Macaca mulatta: one gene and its partner. The main gene of each other region encodes a partner of the protein of the gene in region 2 in a complex. Links are inferred from orthologs where the notes say so. Each region holds a gene or a part of one and is shown on either strand. Other genes may lie near its edges.

The links.
Region 1: the proteins of ITSN1 (region 2) and FCHSD2 are in contact, whole or in part, in a crystal structure (PDB 6GBU), measured with the Homo sapiens proteins. The link is inferred for Macaca mulatta from reciprocal best matches to the Homo sapiens genes ITSN1 and FCHSD2. Residues at the interface, in NP_003015.2 of Homo sapiens: Pro1076, Ile1078, Gly1098, Leu1100, Leu1102, Gln1117, Ala1118, Arg1119, Gly1120, Lys1121, Lys1122, Arg1123, Leu1136, Ser1137, Pro1138; in NP_055639.2 of Homo sapiens: Tyr576, Gln581, Thr582, Asp584, Glu585, Gln602, Asp603, Asp604, Asp605, Gly606, Phe607, Val618, Pro620, Val622, Leu623.

What each region holds. Positions count from the first base shown.
Region 1 is NC_133419.1:73,179,799-73,187,821, forward strand, and holds part of FCHSD2 (F-BAR and double SH3 domains protein 2), read right to left. Parts: intron 4,673-8,023; coding exon 4,589-4,672; intron 4,467-4,588; coding exon 4,289-4,466; intron 3,984-4,288; coding exon 3,763-3,983; intron 2,735-3,762; coding exon 2,605-2,734; intron 2,065-2,604; coding exon 1,982-2,064; intron 1-1,981. UniProt on the Homo sapiens protein: Adapter protein that plays a role in endocytosis via clathrin-coated pits. Contributes to the internalization of cell surface receptors, such as integrin ITGB1 and transferrin receptor.
Region 2 is NC_133408.1:13,589,027-13,597,049, forward strand, and holds part of ITSN1 (intersectin-1), read right to left. Parts: intron 5,323-8,023; coding exon 5,093-5,322; intron 2,898-5,092; coding exon 2,776-2,897; intron 1-2,775. UniProt on the Homo sapiens protein: Adapter protein that provides a link between the endocytic membrane traffic and the actin assembly machinery. Acts as a guanine nucleotide exchange factor (GEF) for CDC42, and thereby stimulates actin nucleation mediated by WASL and the ARP2/3 complex.

The DNA of each region.
Region 1 (8,023 bases), on a different chromosome or scaffold from region 2:
AGTCAGTTCCTGACTCAGTATCTGAAGCATCCCCAAAACCTAATCACTCATCTGTCCAAGGACGTGGGCACCCTAGGGGTCTCAGAAATGTTGTGAGCACATGCTTTCAACCTAGTCTTCGCTATTTCCTACACTGAGAAGCAGTTGTTCTCAGTGAAATATCAAGCCCACAAATCAGCCTCTTGTCTAGGCTAAAAACCTCATGGGCGGCACAAGAGTCGCATGACTAAGATCGTAGCACATCCTCCAAAGCAAAGGTCTGGTTGGAAGCAAGGGAGAGCAATGCTTAGAGAAATGAAACATTTCAGCATATCTTGGGAAGAGAGTTACAAAAGGTAAGGCTAGAAAGGTAGGCTGGGGTTAAGTCGTGAAGGGCCTTGTTAAACCATGTTTAAACATCTGCTTTAAGAAGAAAAAAATCTGTGCTTTATTCTGTAGGCAAAAGAGGAGTTTTTGATGGATTTTAAGCAATATCAGATCTGTGAAAAGATGACTCAGGTAACAATTAGAGAAAAGATCAGAGGCAAGCAAGAGTCCAGGTAAGAAGGCAACTTAGGAAACTTTTGTAGTCCTCTGAATGAGAGTTGACAATAGCCCAAACAAGGGTACTGGCAGTAGGGGAAGTAGAGAAGTGTAAAGATTTGCAAGCTGTCTGCAAGGTATATCTGGCAGGATTTCGGAATGACTGTGGGAGGCAGGGGTGGGAGGTATTAAGAATGATGCCAGAACACCAGTAGGATGGGGGTTCCATTTACCAAGATAGGCAATATGGAAAAAGGAACATGTCTGGGAGGGAACACAACTCATTTTTGCTGAGTTTTGGGGATCTGGGATATATAAACAGAGACATCCACAAATCTGAAGCTCAGTGAAGGGATCGGATTGGCAGTTACAAATCTGAAACTTGCTGGTATATAAATGGTTATCATAGCTGTGGAAGTAGATGAGGTCATTTGGTAAGAGTGCTTTCAACAACTTCAAGAGAAGCAGCCCAGGGACAGAACAATGAGAAGTATCAGCAGAGGCAGGTGGAGGCAAGGCTGCAAAGGTCCACAGAAAGGTAGGACCAGAGAGGAAGAAAGCAAACGAGGCAAATGTGGTAGAGAAGCACATCAGTCCACTGCTCTCTGTTCCTACTCTTACCCACCAGTCCATGCTGCCACCACCTCTTTCTTCGATGCTGCCCCAATCTCCTAATTGCTCTCTAGGTCCTTTCTGCCAGCCTCCATCCATCCTCCACTTAGCTGCCATAGCGATGCTATAAAAATGCACCAGCCACAACACTGTCCAGCTTACCACTTTACAATGGCTTCCTATCTCATTTGGGATAAAGACTCAAGTCCTTAAGAAGGCACTCAATACATATTTGCTGAATGAATGAAGCCAAAGGAAGCCAGTGGTAAAGGAATGGTATCAAAAGCTAATGGGGTCAAGGAAAACAAAATTGCAAAGTATCCAACTGGATTACCAATGTGCAAGTCATGATCTTGGAGTACAGTGGTGGGTGGAATGCAGATGGCAGTAGAGTGAAGGGTGAAGACAGAGGTAACTTTGCTATAATATATTCACCCGGAGAATAAACGCTCTTTAAGGCCATGAAGTTAGCTTATTATTTCATCTCAGTATTCCTCAAAGAGGCAAACAAAGGCCTGGAAAATTAAATGTTTACTCAAAAAAGTGTTTCACAATTAGCCCACTTTAATGCTCATAAAGCTTGTTCTAATCTAAATACACTTTCATAGCCATCATCTTGCAATCTCACTGTGGCTCAGTGAAAAAAGTTCTAGTGTAGATTAAATGTTCCAAGATGAGTTGATTTCTATGGCCTTCCTTTTCAATAGCTCTTTTTACCTTCCCAAACCCAGTTCATCCTTGTTTGGCAGAGTCAGTGACAATATAGGGGCCACAGGGAAACATTAATTCCTTCCTTTCAATTTGGAAGAATTATGCATTCTATAATCCTGCAAGATAAGAGACTTACAGGTCGCAGTTTGCCATGTGAGGTCTCAGGCGTATGCCTTGATGCCTGAGAGAATCCTGGTGACTCAGCATGAAGGCTGTTTTCTACGGGAGAAAACCAAAGAAGCTCATTTTACTTGAGTTGTTGAATAAAAATGCTGATGCAAGGCTGGCATTGTGGCTCGAGCTTGTAATCCCAGCACTTTGGGATACTGAGGCAGGAGGATTACTTGAGGCCAGGAGTTCAAGGCTGCAGTGAGCTATGATCCTGCCACTGCACTCCAGGCTGAGTGACAGAATAATACCCTTTCTCCACAAAAAATACAAAAATTAGCTGTGTGTGGTAGTGCATGCCTGTACTCCTAGCTACTAGGGAGGCTGAGGCAGAGGATCACTTGAGCCTAGGAGTTAGTTATCACTTGAGCCACTTGGTTAAGCTGTGAGCCTACTGAACTCCAGCCTGGGTGTCCAGCCTGAACTCATGCCACTGAACTCCAGCCTGGGTGTCCAGCCTGGGTGACAGAGTGAGACTCTGTCTCCAAAAAAAAGAAAAAAAAGCAAATGCAGTTTTGTTTGCCCTTCAGGCGAATATGCAGATTTCTGAAGTGAAAATGCATTTAGATCCATGCCCAGGAGAACCCTTACCGTTTGCTGAAGGAGACCGGGGAAAGTACAGGGAGCTCCTCTTATCTGGGCTGGGGTAGGGGCTGCTGGGAGGCTGGTCATACAACGGCAGTGGAGGCAGGGAGGCGTGTGGCTTGGGGGAAGGAGAGATCTGCAGCAAAGGGAAGTGAGGTTACCTGGTGCTTCTGCCCAGGAAGGACAGCCTGGCTGCTGCTTTGACTGCTCTGTACACATCCCTTTTCTCTGAAGCTAAGCTGACTACTGAAACTTGTCAACCTCATTAGAGGCAACTGAGCATTAAATAACCACCTCAAGCCCCAATTTTGCATTGCACTTCACTTTTTCCTCTTACAGATCTCATCACATTACTGATTTTAGTTTGTCTTAAACAGTTATCAAGTGATGCCACTCTCTAGGGTTCTATTGAAAATGTACCAAATTAGTCAATTCAGTAAACTTAGCAAAGAACACCAGCAACAAAAGGAACAAATTGGATTTTTTGGGGTGAAGATAAAATACCTTGATGAATTTCTGACTTCCCCAGGTTTTGTGCATGTTAGGCTAAGGGTCACAATCACCATGCAAACAAAATTGGCAAACATGTTCCTTCTTCCTCTACCTGTCTGGCCCGCAATGATAGATCCCTGAGGGGACAAACTGAACTCTGACTGAATTAGAGGTTCCTTTAAAGGCTGTTCCCCTGTGATAAACTAAGTCTAGGATCACTTGAGTGGGGACTGGGGGCTCTGGCAGGCTCATTAGTTCTCTGAAATAGATTGGCAGGACCTGGACTAGGCAAGGAGGCTCTGACAGTGAGGGAGAGAGCGAGCCAGCTAAGAGTTTTACTACGTAAATTAACCACAGAGCAATACCTTCCCTCTTCGGTTTGTTTTTCTCCACCTAAATGATCTTTGATATGTCACATATAATTTGGCATTTTGGTTAACCGATGCAGGGAAGAGAATGTGGGAAGATGGAGGTGTGGGAGGATGGCCATATTCCACAAGGGACTGACTGAGAAGTCTCTGGTTTCCCAAATTCAGTTGTGCAGACACTGGCAACCAAGGACCGGTGAGGGTAAGGCAGAGACTGCAGCCCACTTTTGTGTGAATTCACAGACCCCTTGGGAGCAATTTTCTTTAAACATCTTTTAATTCAACCAGCTCCCCTCTTAGGTACCTGAATCTCTCTCATCCATGGAGTGTCACCATTTTCTGAGGCTGAAAGTTCTTCCACTAGCACGGATGGGAAAACTCCAATACGCCCATTGAATTCCCCTTCCCAGAAGCCATCGTCGTCTTGGTTTTCTTTGTTCAAGATACGGATTATTGCTCCCTCAGGAAAAGATAACTCATCATCTGTCTGGCCCTCATAATCATAAAGTGCTTTCACAAAACAGACTAGGGAGCAAGAGAAAAACAAATCTGGTAAGATAATTAACAGCCGGTTGCTTCTGCAACCACCCCTATGCTCACATGACAACTAAAACAGCATCATACAGAATAGGATTAAAGTTGTAATTTTTTTACTCACGGATGATTAATTTTAGGGTTCTACTGTGCAGGACAAATGTGACCATATAAAGAAGAGCATATTATAGGACAGGGGGAAAGTTGTGCTTTTTATCCTAGTGAAGGCTTACTCCAGGGCAATACAGTTTAGGTCAAATGTGACCAAATAAAGAGTGCCTTGTTTCAGTCTTTACCACTGGCATCTCCGTTGAGGCTGCCTGAAACGAGTTCTGCTTCCGTGGAATTGCTGGACGTGTGTGACCGACTGTCCAAAGTGGCCAGGGACTGCAGCATGCTCAGGAGGCTGTTTGAGGTGGGAAACTGTAGGTACTTTTCTGGCACATAACCCACTTGGCCAACTTTATTTCGAGCCTGGGTAAAAGACATGTGACAAAACAAGTTTACACACACACAATTTAGACAGGGTACAACAAAGACCAAAACGAACTCCTAAAAATGTCACAAGAAGGGGCGATATGAGCAAAGGAATATACCTTTACCCAGTCTTCCATATCTCCATCTTCAATCACTTCTAACACCTCATGTTCCTCAATGGTCAACTCATCTGGTTGAGAAGCCTGCAATGTAGGATGGTCATGGACAAAATTAAAAAGGTTAGATAAGGAGCAGATGTGGGCTGATCATGACAAAAACTGGGGATCAAAATATTGAAATGATATTGAGAAACATGTTGAACATAAAAATTTAAATGCTGTAAAACTTTCATAATGAGGTGAAGTTTTACTTTAAAAAACTAAACAGAATAAAACCGTAACAAAAACCGAAGAAACTGAATCCTCAAGAGGCAATGAGGTTCAATGAACAGAACATGTGAGCCTGGGCAACACAGCAAGATCCCCATCTCTACCAATAAATAAATAAATAAATAAATAAATAAATAAATAAATAAAATTAGTCAGACATGGTGGAATGTGCCTGTAGTCACAGCTACTCGGGAGGCTGAGGTGGGAGGATCGCTTGAGCCTGGGAGGTTGAGGCTGCAGTGAGCCATGAGCATGCCACTGCACTCCAGCCTGGGCAACAGAGCGAGACCCTGTCTCTAAAAAAACGAACAAACAAAAAAAGAGAGCACTTCCTGGAAGTAGAGGACCTGGGTTCCAACTCCAGCTTCTGTATCAAGTTATTCAACTTGATGCCTCCATTTCTTTGAAATGACAATCCTGCCATTTTCTGGAGGATGTGAGTCAATGTGGGATGAATAAGCACAGAAGTGTGATGATTTGGGAAGCAAAAGCAAAGGAGAAGGCACTGAGTTGGAACTGCTACCAGAGGGCTCCCATGGACAAGCATGCAGTGAAAATGCAAAGAACTATGTACATGAATTTGATGACAGTGGGTGCAGTGCCTAGGATTGATCTGGAAACACTGTAAAGCAGTGGCTAAAAGAAGAAAATTGTAGGAAAGGAAATGATTGAGATCAGTCATGGTTTGGATTTCTTATGTTCCAACTTAACGGTGTGGAGACTGAGCTGATCCACTTGCGTGCTACTGCACAAGCTGCTAACCATAATGGTTTTCTTTTTTATCCCTGACAATAGCAGTCCACCAGCATCAGCCACCCACATGTTGCCCTTGAGACTGCCAAATCTGTAAATGCTCTGAGGCTCCACAGAGGGGCTGGAAAGTCCATGTGGCTTTGCTTCCTAACAGCCTTGCCTGTCACGTGTAATAGGCAGGGGCCTGCTGTCTTCTGGCTCTCTAGAAAACAGTCTTAAAAGCTTTTCTCAAGTCCCAAGATGGGTTAGAACCATCACTTAAAACCATAAAGTTTTTAAAATCTCAAAATCTCAAAGTGTAAAATTAACTCCAAGTTACACAAAAATAAGGCAAAAAAGGGGGTCATTTTCAAGATCAATTTCCCATTTTATGAACATTAAAACATTTCATCAAAATCCAGATTCTGGATGTTGCCATAGCTCCCTGAGACAGAAAAATTATATTGAGGATGGCTGACCAGTCACAGAATACTCGAAGGCCAGATTTTAAATTAACTCTTATCTCAAAACATAAGGAAAAAACCCCACTCATTTACCCTTGATAGCTTTTCCAATGGAATTCCTTCACTACTCTGAAACTACACTATGCCTTGGATATGCCAGCAAAAGGCACTTTTGTAATAAAAATGTTTTCCATGGCAAGACCTAGAAAGTATCAACACAACCAGACGTTAATGTATGTGATAGCAAACCAGGGAGGTAGTACACTTTCAAATAAACTGCTGCCCTTATAAAAACCTATGGAGAGGCTGAGTGAGGTGGCTCACGCCTGTAATCCCAGCACTTTGGGAGGCCAAGGTGGGTGGATCACTTGAGGCCAGGAGTTTGAGACCGGCCTGGGCAACATGGAAAAACGCTGTCTCTATGAAAAATACAAAAAACTAGGTGGGTGTTGTGGCACGCACCTGTAATCCCAGCTATTTGGGAGGCTGAGGTGGGAGGATCACTTGAATCAGGGAGGCAGAGGTTGCAGTGAGCCAAGATCACACCACTGCACTCTAGCCTGGGCAACAGAGCAAGACCCTGTCTCAAAAAAAAAAAAAAAAAAAAAAGCCATGGAGGTCCGTGCAAGTTTTTCAACACTGCAGCACTAGTTGTCCAATGTAAGCAGACACTAGCTTGATCATCCCATCCTAAAGCAGTGATGACCAATTCTTCCACCTAACAAGGTGGAAGTTCTTTGTGTGGCAATCACGACCCTGCAGTTTGGTCCCTGTGGGCCAAAGTGGGCCTCTAGACACTTTGGCCCCTGCACACTATTCCTATTCTCTGAGCATATCATGTTCTTCCTTGCCTCTGTGCTTTTATCAAGTGTTCTTCCATCCAGCAGGCTCTGTTCCCTCTTTCCTATCTGATGAGCAGACTCAGATTACTGTGGGTTTAAGTCCGGCTTCAGTATGTTTTTATGGGCAAGTGACTGTAAGATACCTTTGAACTTCAGTTTTCTTTTTTTCTATTAGAATATAAGCTCCATGAGGGCAGAGATTTTTGTCTATTTTGATCAATGCTATATCCCAGAGCCTAGAAAAGCCCACAGCACTGATACACGGAAAGTGCTCAAGCACTGTTTCTTGAATGAATGGGGTGCTTGATAATATCTTCCTCATAGGGTTACTGAAGGGATTACAAATAAATAGATAGATAGATAGTAGTTATGATTACTTTGGATTTGAGACTGAGCGCATATGTTTTCCCAGACTACTCATGATGAGTAAGCTGCTCCTCCTTTTGTTCTTTTTTTTTTTTTTTTTTGAGACAGAGTCTCACAGTTTGCCCAGGCTGGAGTGCAGTGGTGCCATCTCGGCTCACTGCAACCTCCTCCTGGGTTCAAGCAATTCTCCTGCCTCAGCCTCCCAAGTAGCTGGGAATACAGGTGAATGCTACCATGCCTGGCTAATTTTTTGTATTTTTAGTAGAGATGGGGTTTCACCGTGTTGGTCAGGCTGGTCTCGAACTCCTGACCTTGCGATCCGCCCACCCTGGCCTCCCAAAGTGCTGGGATTACAGGCATGAGCCACTGCACCTGGCCCTCCTTTTGTTCTTAAAAGGCTCTGAGCGTCCCCATAACACTGACTACCATGATGCTCTAATGAATTTGTCTTTGTGAGCGTCCTACTAGAAACAATTAGACAGGGACTATATTTCTTCTCACTTACCCCAACTAAAGACAGTGAGCAGTAAATAGTTATTAAATACACACATACTCTCATACTGTCTCCTTAAGTCCTAGTATCCGGTGACAACCAGAGCTCTGTTTCTACTAGTATCTCTCCAAATTTCCTGTACTTCTTTTAAAACAATGTTTTTCCTGATCATATCATACATGTTCATTGTAGAAAAGCTGGAAAATATGTATAATTGAGATCTTACGGTACATACAATTTGGTATCCTACCTTTTAATTTATTATTAG
Region 2 (8,023 bases):
CTACTTGGAACTCCTTTTTGTCTATGGCCTGGGATGAAGACTTGACCCAATTCCTTGCCAAACACAGAGCATTCAAGTTAGTCCTTAAAAGGAATCTAGCAAAAAGAAACCCAGTACACAAACTGAGAAGACTTATGACTTACTTTTTTTTTTTTTAAGCACAACCTACTACACAGACTCAAACACATTTTTACTGCCACAACAACACCCAGAGATATGTGTACTTACACAGAATTCAAGTGACTTAAAAGGACAAAACATTGAATAAGATGCAGACTTCCTGACAGTTAGGCAACACTTACCCATTCCCCTTTAACCTCCACCAGGAAAGCAAAGGTTTGAAAGCAAGGCAAAATATATGTTTAATGACATGCTTTATTCTTACAGCATATCTAAACTCTACGCATCTCATCAAGCTGGTGGTTAACTAGCCAATTCGAGGAAAAGGTTTCAACAGGCCTAGGATTATAGGTGAAGCCCAAATATGTTACCGAAAAAGAGCAACACTTTCTCATCAAGATACAGATCACCTGCAACATTTCCTTATCATAACATTTCACAACGTTCCCTTACTTTAGGATGAGAGCGAGCTGCTTCTCTGCACCTTGTGTTGCAAGAAAATCCAGTTTCAAAAATATTAGGCTGGTTTGTTTAACATTAAAAAAAATTGTAATGAGGTCCTCACTGATGTGACAATGTATTTTCAGAAATGTTAGATTCCTATTACATGGTATTTACATATTTTACAATTAATCTGCTTTACAGGATACACTACTTCAAATACGAGGCAGTGTGGGAAAGTAGCTTCAGGCTATTAGAAACCACGGTGTAGGAAACAGCAGGTGGTGAAGTCAGAGGAAAGCTGACAAACATGCCCTGCTGGCTCGAGTTACCGTCTGTGTGCGCAGAGTGGAGTGCCCAAACCCACAGTTCTTTCTGTAAAGGATGAGTAAGGCTGGCACCCAGCATGTTTCAGGCAATAACTGTGTGCTGAATGAAGCCATGGAGTATATTTGAAGAGGTTTTCACTATTGTTAAGGTGATTTTAACTTTTAAAGATCTGGAGCCTGGGCAACATAGGGAGACCCTAGCTCTACAAAAAAATAAAAAAATAAAGATTAGCTGGGTGTGGTGGCACACACCTCTGAGCTACTCAGGAGGCTGAGGCAGGAGGATCACTTGAGCCTGGGAGGTGGAGGCTGCAGTGAGCCAAGATCATGCCACTGCACTCCAGCCTAGGTGACAGCGTGAGACTCTGTCTCAAAAAAAAAAAAAAAGAAAAGAAAAGAAAAGAAAAGAAAAAATAATTTGGGATTTTTGGCCTTGCTTCTTCTAGCCCATGGTAATTACAGAGAAAACAGCGCTATCAGGAAAAAAGGGGACATAAGAATTGATTTCTCTAAGTGCTAAACATACTGTTATTTCTACGTATTTTAGCCTATTAAAGATCCACAGATATGATGTGTATATGGCAAGATGAATGCATGAGTAATAGTATAATCACCTGTATAACACCCTTTATACTTCAGAGACATACAGTCCTTGGGCAAGAAACATGTTGTTTCAATTGTTAACTTTCATAGTTCTTTACAAATTCTAGGCCAGGCATGGTGGCTCATGCCTGTAATTTCAGCATTTTGGGAGGCTGACATGGGAGGATCGTTCGAGCCCAGGCAATTCAAGACCAGCCTGGGCAACACGGAGAAACCCTGTCTCTACAGAAAATACAAAAATTAGCTGGGCATGGTGGTGTACGCCTGTGGTTCCAGGTACTTGGGAGGATGAGGTGGGAGAATCTCTTTGCTTGAGCCCGGGAGGCAGAGGTTGCAGTGAGCCAATATCACGCCACTGCACTCCAGCCTGGGCAACAGAGTGAGAAGTTGTGTCAACAACAACAAAAAAAGCTAAATTATCTTTTAAAAAAAAAGTGCTAAGAGTAATGCAAAGTTGACGACTTCTAAGACTCTAAAAGTGAGTAACTAGAACAAGGAACTACTATTTTCTTTTAGAAAATGATTTAGATGAACCATGTTGTTTGATTTTCTTTCTTAAACTGGTTCCTATAGTTTCAGTCACATCATAAGATTGTTATTAATTAAAGGAAAGAAACAGTAACAAAGTAAAATTTTAAATTATTTTCTGTTTCAGAGTAGGAAAGCAGATTAACTGTGTAATTCATTACTCTTTTTACATAATTCAAAGTTCACATAATTAAAGGGAAAAAAGATGCTCTGATGCAAAGATACAAAAGTTATTGCAATTATGAGAATGATGATAGGTGTTCTGCACTTATAACTATTTCTTAAAGACTCCTGGCCTCCTCCCACTTTGGAGGATCCTAGTGTGTGTGTATATATATGTACATATGCACACTAGCATATATTATACATATATATACACACGCATGCTAGTATATAGTCTATACATCATATATAAAATATATGTATTACATATATATTTATACTCATATATTTCTACTCATAGTATATAAGTAGTAATCTAAACTCTGAAATTATCAGACATTTATAGATTTAAAAATAAGAACACATTGTCTTTACCAACTCAATTTTAAAGTGATGTTGGGATACATTTTTTAAATGCCATCTTTCATTTTAATAAAAAAGAAAGAAGACTGAGCTTACACTTTAAAAATCTAGATGCTGAATTATTGGGTTTCATACTCACTGACAATCTCACAATTGTTGAATAAAGTGAAACAAGAGGACAGAGGCTAATCTTCAACAGAAATGACCCTCTCACTGGAGTCTTTCTTACCATGACTATGTCTCCTGGCTGGATAGTGATTTCATCATGGCTTCTGGATTCAAAGGGGTACAGTGCCCGGTAATATACCACTTTTACGTTTTCCTGTGCAGAAATGGTAAGTGGACCTTTTTCTGTTTACAAAAAAGGTGGGGGGACAAAAATAAATAATTACAGAGAACATAAATGTACGACAACAAGCCAAACAACTAACCTCTCCTCTATTGCCTATCTTCACCTCTGAACTATTTCCCTCCATTCAAGGAATTTCTGAAACACATACTGACTGCCAAAGCAGAGCCAAATCTGACGTCAGCAACTCAAACCCATCAGAGAGTTCATTGGTGACTCCCTCTAAACAAAGGTCATTCCAAGGCTGAGTGTAGCCAGGCTGCCTAAAGGTCCCTTGTCTCTGCCTCTTGGCTTGGGCTCTAGCAGTGCAGATCTGTAAAGCATCAATACCCCCTCCTCCCTACCCAGCGTGTTGAGTACAATGTAGCAGTTAGGATACGACCCAAAGTCTGAATCAGCCAAGGAGCAAACTTGTTTGGGAGGGAACAGAGGCACCAGTTTCCATACCAAAACATGAAAATGCAGATGTTTTAGGCTCTTTAACATGGTCATATAAAACCTAAGTGCTGATTTCAGTTATACTGATAATCCCCAATGAAGAAACTCTTCCTATACATTTCTCTGGGAAATAATGAGCCTAAGGATGAACCCTAGATGAAAATAATTTAGATTTTAAATGAAACAAAATGTTTAGAAATGCACATGAGCAAAGGATATTTTGCATTCTGGTTAGCAACAACTAATAACAGACCTTTGGGCATTTTTACTCAAAAGCTACAAGTATTTTGACATATAACTCTCTTATCCAGAAAGCAATGAGGGTAAAGTATTATCTCCACATGATTTTGAACTGTATGACATGCAAGATTTCCTACTGACTGAAGGCGAAAAAACAAATCTTCATTTTATACTAGGAGGACGCGTGAAGAACTTAAACTAACTGCCTAAGATCAATGGTGAAATTATTTTCAGATAGAAAAAAACTATCAAAAAATTGATTTGCCCCTCCTATGACATGGTTGCTACTGTGTAGGTCTGATGACCTGCCAGTCTTTCCCCTGGACTGCACGCATCTGAAGGCAGGTAGGTGCCTACTGCATCTCCATACCTCACGCCCATCTCAGCCCACTATGCAGCTGGGAACCAGTAAACCTTTACAGAATAGCTTGAAAGTGTTTTTTCTTTCTTTTCTTTCTGTATACCGCAGCACTAAAGCAGCACACGGATGACCAAGCAAAATTGGTATAATTTTCCACACAAAGAAAAAGCAACGACTTGCTTCCGCTGAGCATTATTTGCAAAACTGTACAATCACACAACCACACAGGAATCTTAAATACATTCTAGCTTACATCTGTTATTATAAAGGATAGCTTTTCCTAGCTATTCCAATTAGATCGGTCTTTCATTTATCTTTTTGTTCAGTCTTTTATTTATCCTTTTTTTTTAAAAAAAAAAAGGCAAATTAGGCCAGGCATGGTGGCTCATGCTTGTAATTTCAGTACTCAGAAAGGCCAAGGTGGGAGGATTGCCTGAGGCCAAGAGTTCAAGACCAACCTGGGCAACAAGGTTAGAACTCCATCTCTACAAAAAAAAAAATTAGCTGGGCATGGTGGTGCACACCTATAGTCCCAGCTCCTTGGGAGGCTAAGACAGGAGGATTGCTTAAACCCAAGAGTTTGAGGCTGCAGTGAACTATGACTGTGCCACTGTACTCTAGCCTAGGCGACAGAGTGAGACTGTCTCAAAGAAAAAAGAAAAGCAAAGAGAAGTAAAGAAAAGAAAAAGCAAATTATGTTCAAAGGACAAAACGCTGCCACTTTTCAAAAAGTAAAAGCAGCTCTATGCAATGCAGACCGAAGACAGCGAATACCCCATCAGTGGAGGCAAGGGTGAAAGGTGCCACTTTCTGTTGCAGAAACAGCCCAGAAATTCCAGGGAGGGAAATAACAAACCAGAGAAACAGCAGGTTCTTTTGCAGCATATACGACCAGTGGAACTTCACGCCACTTGTTAACTCTGTAGAGGACTCGTGGATGCCGGTGTAACGTGGGCCAGAGGCTGGCATGGTGATGGGAGAATTACACAGATCTCAACTGACCCTGGGGAAAGAAGAGCTGCCATGCTCAAAATAAGAGACTGATGTTCTCATCTGTTAATGTAGCCAAGACTGGTCCTGATGAGATATGGGCGTTTTTCAGGAGGATCTGGGAGAGAAGATGACTTATTTTCTAGAATTATTTTTGGCTTCTAATACCTGAAGTGGACCAGGGTGCCTGGACAGCTGGCTTAGCTGGTTCTTGGTGCTGATGGAAAAGCCGACCCAGCTTGTCTTGTGCTTCCTGTTTGCCTTTCTCCTCACCATCCTTCTTTTTGATACTCTCCTCCCTTTTCAGTTTTTCCTCCTCGTGGAGTTTTCTTGGTCGCTGATGCTCGTCCTCCTGCTGCACATGCTCCAGCCACTGCTTGTCCCTTTCCTGAGCTCGTCTGCCAACAAACACACTTGATTACAGCAAGGAAGCAGCTCTAAGTTAACACTACTGTTGCCTCTTTTCACAAAAAAAGCTCCATCCAGTAAATGGGATGGGAAACATCAAGGGAACATTGTTCTTCAGACGGGGCAACTGAATCAGGGCTTCAGTTCTGAGTGAGAAGAAATCACATGATTTAGGAAAACACAGAAAATTTCTGATGTATTTTATAAAGTGGTTACAAGAATAAGAAACACACTTAATAATAAAGCGGGTATTAAACTGACCAAACAGAGCCATAAAACACAGAGAACATAACTTCTATAAAAATAAAATACACCCAACACTGTAAATGAAATATCACTTAAAATAAGTACATGATCAATCAGATCATTAAAATTTCCCCCCAGCAAAGGGTACAACACATTTACATGCATACATGTTGCTCCCCAAACCTGAAGCTGAAAGCAAGGGATTGTTTTATTGACTTCAACTACTTTGATTTTGTTTTTCTAAGTAGCTACCACAAATAGATAATTGTAATTAAATCTAGGCCTTGTAATTTTTGATGGCCTCAACCTGAAACCCACAGTAAAAGACTGAGAATGATTTTTCTCATTCTATAATACTTTATAAAGTCAGAAAATACTTTAAATGAAACTAATATGTAATAACAAATGATATAATAATAACTAGCTCTCCATATATTAACTCCTTTAAACTGCGAATCAGGTAGGTAGTCTTAGTATTACTCCCATTTTACAAATAAGGAAGCTGGGGCAGAGATATTAAATGACTTGTCCACATCACACAATCATATGTGCCTGGGCTTCAATCCCAGGCAGCCTGGTCCCAGAGTCTCCACCCTGAACTGCCATCCTGTGACATGGCTAACGCACACAGGTCATTGGCTAGAATTAGGAATTTGCCACGGGAACATAATTGAAACAAATTATACTTTTATTCTCCATTGTCAAAAAATTACATTTATTGCTACTCTGTATGAATGTGAAATTTTTATGCAGAAGTCTTCAAACTTAAATCTTAAACATTTTATTTACAATTTTTAAAATGTCTTTTAGGAAAGTATAAAAACATTTTTTGGAGGGGTAAGGACACTGTTATTCATGACAACAAAAAACCATAATAAAAACAGTGGCCAGGCACGGTGGCTCACGTCTGTAATCCCAGCACTTTGGGAGGCTGAGGAGGGTGGATCACCAGGTCAGGAGTTCTAGACCAGCCAGGAGTTCTAGACCAACATGGCGAAAGCTCATCTCTACTAATAATATAAAAATTAGCTGGGCGTGGTAGCGCACGCCTGTAGTCCCAGCTACTTGGGAGGCTGAGGCAGGAGAGTCGGTTGAACCAGGGAGGCAGAGGTTGCAGTGAGCTGAAATCATGCCACTGCACTCCAGCTTGGGTGACAGAGTGAGACTCCGTCTCAAAAAAAAAAAATTACTTTATATTTTCTACCAATAAAGGTCACCATATATAGTGTACAACCATCTAATTTCTGAAGTTAATTTGGAGTAGTTTTTATCTATGTAATTGGAATATATATTACATATTATATTTTATTAAGCTATTTTCTGTATTATGCTATTTTATGTATTTTATGTATTTTTCTGTATTTTACGTTTATTTCTACTCTGTAGGAATTTAACAGTTCAGTGCAGTATAGTGTGAATAATAAAAGCATTTTATACACTGTGGAGGTAAGAAAAGGATGGAATTAATCAGTACATCCAAGGAGGAGACCCTTAGTCTGACCTCCAAGAAAACCATAAAACAATCATGTAAATTGGTTTGGGACCCCAGATACCTCCCCACTGGCACTGAAAAACAAACAGACGACTCTACATACCCATAAGAAAGTAGGCACAGCTCTCCGCAGGTTAACTGAACTCAGCCCACTAAAGTTAACGACTTACGACTTGTCTCAAGTATCCATTTCGTCGTCTTTTTAATCTAATTTCTTTTTCTTTTCTTTTTCTATTTTTGAGATAGAGTTTCTCTCTGTTGCCAGGCTAGAGTACAGTGGCATGATTTCAGCTCACTGCAACCTCCGACTCCTGGGTTCAAGTGATCCTCCTGCCTCAGCCTCCCAAGTAGCTGGGACTACAGGCACGTGCCACTGTGCCCAGCTAAATTTTTGTATTTTTAGTAGAAACGGGGTTTCACCATGTTGGCCAGGATGGTCCTAATATCTTGACCTTGTGATCCGCCCACCTTGGCCTCCCAAAGTGCTGGGATTACAGGCGTGAGCCACTGTGCCTGGCCTTAATCTAATTTCAATTACCAACTTTTATAATTTACAGGCTGTCATTGGGACATTTGGTCATTTTTGTTTTGTGGAGTCTAAAATTAACTGACATTTAAAAGGCAAATACCCAGTAACAAAATCAGACACAAATTTCTACAATTTACCACAGTAAGTTACAAGTAAAAATAAAAACATCACAAACACAAATCTTCAAAAACAGATACAAACATGTCTGTATCCTACGCACTAAGCAGCAAATTTCCCCCTTTTGTACTAAAGTTTAATTTGCAGTTGAAAAACAGAAGGGAAACAGAGGGGCCCACCCTGACCCTGCTGGAGAAGCCCTGTGTGGGGCACTAGCTCAGTGGCTTAGATTTTAAACCAGGCATTCCAACCCCTGTTAGCTGTTAGTAAAAGGCTGTGAACTAGAAATGTTATTTTGGCCATTAAC